Linked DNA regions of Oryza sativa Japonica Group. Each later gene encodes a partner of the first gene's protein in a complex. Links are inferred from orthologs where the notes say so. Each region holds a gene or a part of one and is shown on either strand. Other genes may lie near its edges.

Evidence for each region.
Region 2: rps4 (region 1) and small ribosomal subunit protein uS13c share a complex: the UniProt entries of both Arabidopsis thaliana proteins name them as parts of the 30S ribosomal subunit. The link is inferred for Oryza sativa Japonica Group from reciprocal best matches to the Arabidopsis thaliana genes rps4 and EMB3137.

Annotation. Positions count from the first base shown.
Region 1 is NC_001320.1:44,058-46,766, forward strand, and holds rps4 (ribosomal protein S4), read right to left. Parts: upstream 1,359-2,709; coding exon 753-1,358; downstream 1-752. UniProt on the Arabidopsis thaliana protein: One of the primary rRNA binding proteins, it binds directly to 16S rRNA where it nucleates assembly of the body of the 30S subunit. With S5 and S12 plays an important role in translational accuracy.
Region 2 is NC_089037.1:29,173,446-29,177,554, forward strand, and holds small ribosomal subunit protein uS13c, read left to right. Parts: upstream 1-1,604; 5' UTR 1,605-1,698; coding exon 1,699-1,797; intron 1,798-2,491; coding exon 2,492-2,731; intron 2,732-3,114; coding exon 3,115-3,291; 3' UTR 3,292-3,506; downstream 3,507-4,109. Other genes in the region: uncharacterized membrane protein At4g09580, read left to right, coding at 157-288. UniProt on the Arabidopsis thaliana protein: Located at the top of the head of the 30S subunit, it contacts several helices of the 16S rRNA.

The DNA.
Region 1 (2,709 bases):
CCTATTTCTTTTCTCAACAACAACTTCTCTCATCAACTATTTCGCATTTTCAAAAGTCATTAATCGTCCCATACCCTATTTTCTATTTGATTGTATGGGGTAGGATACCTTATGCAAACAGAATTCTAGGGTTCCTTTTTTATCGAATAAGAAGAATTCTTCCATTCTCTTTTTCTTTGGTTTGGGGAAAACCCAAACTAAAACTTTTCGAGGGAGCGGAATTCCTAGTAAAAAAATCCTGGACCCGTCCACTTAGATGAAAAGGAATTTTTCTATCTAATAGAACAATGGAACTCTCGCGCGGTTGTGGTTGTACCTGTACTGCAGGAATAGGAAAACTCGCTATTCACTCAGTTTTTTTTCCATAATAAGATTATGGAGGAGAGATGGCCGAGCGGTTCAAGGCGTAGCATTGGAACTGCTATGTAGACTTTTGTTTACCGAGGGTTCGAATCCCTCTCTTTCCGTTTTTCTTAATTCAGCAACGTTAATGATTACAATGTATCAAATCAAATGACAATTTATTCCAGCAATAATACAATACCTTTATTTAATAGAAATTCTCTATACCAAATTACTATGGTATGTAAAATACACATAGAGGAAAGAACAAAAAACAAAAAGGAATCCTAGGGTTAATCCATTTCTGTTAGGTGAATGGGAAAATACGAATTAAGAGCCTTAGGTCGATTTAGTTCGGGGAAAGGGGAAGGGAAGAAAAATTCTATGAACCTTTCCGTTTTTCCTTAAGTTCAAGTTTGACGAGAGTAATATTCTACAACTAACAACTCATTTATTTTGAGACCGACCCACTTCCTATCCAGGATTTTTTTTACTAGTCCTTTATATTGCAATGTGTCAATCGTCAAATGCTTTGGCAATTTCCCCGGGTCGGATGAAGCAATAGAATTTTGAACCAGACGTTTTGATCTTTGGTTATCCTTCGTAGTAATAATATCTCGGGGTTTGCAACGAAAACTTGGTATATCGACTATACGACCATTAACTAAAATATGTCTATGGTTAACTAATTGCCGGGCCTCGGGAATGGTTGAAGCCATACCTAATCGAAAAAGGATATTATCCAAACGCATTTCAAGTAATTGTAGTAAAACCTGACCTGTTGAACTTTTTGCTTTTCCAGCGATATGTACATATCTAAGTAATTGTCGTTCTGTCAGACCATAATGAAAACGCAATTTCTGTTTTTCTTGAAGACGAATACGATATTGTTCTTTTTTCCCAGAATGGAATTTCTTTTTCAGATTACTTCCGGATTTAGGTGTTTTTCTAGTGAGTCCTGGTAAAGCTCCCAGACGGCGTATTTTTTTAAAACGAGGTCCTCGATAACGGGACATGAAGACTCCTTTTTTTATTGAAATTTCATTTTACACAATTAATTTCATTGTATTTACATTACAGAATACATCGAAATTAAAACTGAATTAAAGTAAAGGATAAACAGAGTAAAATCTACTAAAAGTACCACAAAAAAATGGAATTTCATCAACATCTGAATTTTTGTATATATATTATTTATTTTATTGTTTTGTATCTAGCAAAATTGTAGGGTAGACCGACATAATAGATCCTGGCTTCTCCATTTAATTCGGAGAAAAAGAGGTATTTTTGTTCATGGAACATTGATAGAGAAAAAAGCCGACTATCGGATTTGAACCGATGACCCTCGCATTACAAATGCGATGCTCTAACCTCTGAGCTAAGTGGGCTTACATAACAGAAATAGTGTAACAAATAGAAATATGTATAGTATAGGAAATCCGTAAAATGTCAGATCTTAATTATTAATCTTAGCTATTAACTAGTTCGAAATTGGAAGTTCTACTTAGAAAAAAATACTAGAACTTCATAAAATAAAGTTAGATAGATTTTTTTGAACTTTCTTTTTTCTCTAATTCGCAAATCTATTTTTCTAATAGAATCTATTCCAATTTCTATATTGAATTTGATTTTAGATATTTTTAATTTGATATGGCTCGGACGAATAATCTAATACATGGAAAAGAATAAATAATATATATTATATACGAAAACATAATAAAGAGAACATGCGAATTTCTTGTATTTTCAGTCCATCATTATAGACATTTTTTGAGATTATTTTGTTTTTTTTTGTTATTTGCTAATAATTTAATGATTAATATTTCACTAAGGAGAACATAGAATCATAGCAAATGAAATTGCTAATTCTGATTAGCAAAAAAAAAGAATGAATATCAAGCGTTATAGTATGATTTTGAATACTCTAAAAAAGGAACGCGGTAGGTGGGGGAGAGAAAAACCTTGGGATATATTGATTCGCATTGAATTGCAAATACATCAACGATAGAATCAATTCAATGCTGAATTGCAATAAGCGGAGTCTCTCAACTAGAGACGAACCGCTAGACTACATAGAGTAATGAATTCAACGATTCAAAAAAAACTAACAGATGGAGGAAATTGCACAAGGAATCCTGGTCTCAAAGAAAAAGAAAATGGGGATATGGCGAAATCGGTAGACGCTACGGACTTGATTGTATTGAGCCTTGGTATGGAAACCTGCTAAGTGGCAACTTCCAAATTCAGAGAAACCCTGGAATTAAAAAAGGGGCAATCCTGAGCCAAATCCATGTTTTGAGAAAACAAGCGGTTCTCGAACTAGAACCCAAAGGAAAAGGATAGGTGCAGAGACTCAATGGAAGCTGT
Region 2 (4,109 bases), on another chromosome or scaffold:
ATGTTTCATGAACTGTCTTTGCACTTTGCACGTCTTCTCCGTTGACTTCAGGATTTACTTAGTTGTGGACGGGTTTGGTGGTTGATCTGATTGTATTATCTGTTTCCAGTGATACCATTTTATCTACTCATCACCATTCTTACTGCTGTCTTGCAGGCTGGTAGGGCACTAGGCGATCTAAGATCACTTAGGGAACTGTATGACTCAAAAACACTAGTAATTCTATTCCTCATTGGAACTGTTGCTGTTGCTCCAACGATTCTGAAAAGGAAGAGAATATACGAATGATGCCACTAAAAAGCATCTAAACAGTGTATTAGTAGAGCACTCCAGAAGTGTATTAGTTTTTTTTCCCTTTCTTTGTTGATATTGTATACCTATTCAATTTAGCTGTAGAGATGTAGTAGTAACATGATGAATGTTTTCCTCAATAATAGATGACGCTAAGCTGTTGCATCTGTTGCCCCAATGTTCTTATAAATCCCCACGTCCCAATTAACGATGCGGTGGAACTATCTGGTTGTTGTGGTTTTACAGTAAATCTTACTGCTCCCAATTGGATGGGCAACCTTATCCGTCGTTTTGAAATGATGTGTTATTTGCCACCAATTGTCCTATTATCTCCATTTATTTTATTTTCACTTGAGACATTTCTGCAAGATGATATTCAGAACGTTCCCCACAGATTATCCTAATACAAAATGCAATACGAATTAAACTTACATTTAGTAGTACCTAAACTGTTACATCTAGGATTATAAACGTGCTGAAATTCTTTATCCTCCCACAAAAACCCCAGAAATTTATATTCAGAGGAAGCTTATGCAGTTCTTTATCCTCCCACAAAAACCCCAGAAATTTATATTCAGAAGAAGCTTATGCAGCATAGCTGATCCTAAAGGCTACAACATATTCTTCTTTTTTTCCTAGAGAGAGGAGAATATTTTCTTTCGTGTTTACTCCCTCCATCTTAAAAAAAAGCTTAAAAAAAAGAAAGTCAGGAACATAACTTAAAAAAGCTTTAAAAAAAAAGAAAGTCAGGAACATAACTTAAGACTGTGTTCGGGAGGAACTCACCTCTCGCGCACGTAAAACGGAGCGAAGCATTTTCTTATGATTAATTAAGTATTTATTAATTGTTTTTGAAAAATGATTTTTTAAAAGCAACTTTTGTGTAGAAATCTTTAAAAAAACACATCGTTTAACCGTTTGAAAAGCGTGCATGCAGAACACAAGGGAGATGTGTTGGAAAAAGTGGGAAAAGAACACAGCCTAGTACTAACTTAATAGCCTAGTACTAACTTAGGGTGTGTTTAGTTCACGCTAAAATTGGAAGCTTGATTGAAATTAGAACGATGTGACAGAAAAGTTGGAAGTTTATGTGTGTAGGAAAGTTTTGATGTGATGTAAAAGTTGGAAGTTTGAAGAAAAAAATTGCAACTACGGCGTTATCTAGATATGGAGTACTCCTAGCTTGTTCTTTTTTCTTTTTCTTTTTTTAACAGAAGGAGTAAACTAGCGACTTGACCTGTTTGGGCCGTACCCTGCAAGGCCCAACCCAAGAAGTCGCCGATACAGTGGTAGCCTACAGGTGCGGCTACCTTATCGGCTTCCTTCCCGTTGGGTTCTATCCGAGACAGCACCGAGAGCTCCGGGAGAGAAGCGCACGCACCTCCGTCCCTCGTCGGGAGCGCAGAAATGGCGACCCTCTCGATGGTCTCCGTCCCCATCGCCACCTCCTCCCTGCCCCTCTCCGCCCGAGGCCGCAGCTCCTCCGTCTCCTTCCCCGTTCCCAAGGTGAGAAGCAAAGCCACCCCTCCCCCCGCCTCCCCCCTCCGCGCCCACTTCTTGTTCGGCCATTTGCTCGCTCGTCCTGTTCCTTGGTTCTGTGCGATTGATATGTGATTCACGCATGACGCATCGTACATCCGTATCACTTATTGCAACTCAACCCCTGGGATCGTTTTGTTATCTTTGCCATCTTGGAGGTTGGGGAGGCTAGTGGCCGTGCTTTGTGTACTACAGTACTAATTTTGAGTATGTGCAATTCAGTAGTTTTTTTTCCGTGATGTTGGAAGAACAGTGTTCCTGTGCAATTTTAGAATTATTGGCATCTGTGAGGAACTAGTATTTATATGCTTGTATGCTTATGAGTTTGAATCTCTGCCCCTAGCACATATCATGTTGGAAGAATGGATAGTGTTACGAAGTAGTATTTCTTTGGACAGCAGAGTGTATATGTAATTCATGTAGGGACTAGGAATAGCAAAGAAGGTTAATTATGCATATAGGATGTAAAAAGAATCGTAATTCCTTGTTAGTACTCCCTCAGTTTCATACTATAAGTAGTCAAAGTTCTTTAGGTTTGACCAAGTTTAAAGAAAAAATTTCCCCACCCCATTATCTTTACTTGCCCAGTCATTTGTAGGCCTGTGCTTTTAACTGTGTTGTGGTTTTGATTCTTTTTTTTTTATTATTGGGTACTGGACAGAAAGGGGGTATTGGTCATGGTGGCCTGCGGATCGAGTGCATTCGTATTGGTGGAGTGGAGATCCCGAACCACAAGAGGGTAGAGTACTCACTGCAGTACATCCATGGCATTGGGCGGTCACGCTCCCGTCAGATCCTCTTGGACCTCAATTTTGACAACAAGGTCACAAAGGACCTCTCCGAGGAGGAAGTCATCACTCTCCGTAAGGAGGTTACCAAGTACATGATTGAGGGAGACCTTGTAATGGCCCTATCCCTTGCTAATTCATCACTTAACTTTTTTTCTGTAATTTTGGTGATTAGTATGGTTACCCTACTTTGGTACTTCCTCCGTTTCACAATATAAGTCATTCTAGCATTTCCCACATTCATATTGATACTAATAAATCTAGATAGATATATATGTCTAGATTCATTAGCATCAATATGAATGTGGTAAATGTTAGAATGACTTACATTGTGAAACGGAGGGAGTAGCATGTTGAAGATTCCTTGAAATTTGGTACCCTTAAACTGATCGTTCTGAAAAAAAAAAGACTCTGTAGTTCTTTTCCCATTTCTGTCATCGTGGATTTATGTTGTGTTGCTAAAATAGAGTTCTGATGTGTTTGCCATGCTTTACAGAAACGGTTTAATCGTGTGGCGATTGAGAGGTTGAAGGAGATTAGGTGTTACAGGGGCATCCGCCACAAGCTAGGGCTGCCAGTTCGTGGACAGAGGACGAAGAACAATTGCAGGACGCTGAAGGGAAGGAGGGCTTCTGTTGCGAAGAAGAAGTCGCCTGCTTCCCAGGAGGAATAAGACACATTGCCATGTATTTACCTTTGGTTCTTTGCCTCTTGTTTATTTTTTGTGTTCTGCTTGACCACGCTCTTGTCTGGTATTATGAGATTTTATGTTGGTGTCGTCATAGATGAATCACGGGTTGTGATCTGTCACTGAAAAAGTTATATTTGTCACCTGTCTTACATGAACTGATGCTAAATTAAGGTTATACTATGTTTTTCAGTCCATCATCTTGCTGTCTCTCTTCTGTTGTCATATCTATGCTTGACCGACCTGTTCCTGATGAATTAACGTATCGCCAGTTTTCTGTCCATTTGTTCCACATGCCACCGTCAGATCTAATGCCTTGTTAACTTTACAAGCTGAAAGAGGAGTATCAGTGTAGCTGAATAATAATATTAGGAACCTGCCTTGCTGATAGCAGCAGACGGGGCTTTTAACTATTTGCCACTCTTACGAATGGTGCTTAACGATTTGCTACTAGACCCACATGTCATAGACACATGAGGGCCCACATGTTATTGGCAGGGTGTGGCAAATCGTTAATTGCCATGTCACAAGAGTGGCAAATAGTTAAATTTCCCGCAGCGGACACCAGTCGAGATTTTGGTTTTTTGTGAAGAGATGATTTAAACTTGAGTTACCAATTACCATGATTACCATGCGTGTGGTTGGAACATGGAACTTTCTGGAGAGAGCTGCTCGGCTCAATCTTGGCTTGTTCACTTTGTTGTCCAAATCAACCATACCAAATTTTGTTACATTTCGGTACTACTGGCTTTGTTTGGTTTGATATCTTACCAAATTTTGGTAGAGGTTTAAGAGGAAGCTTC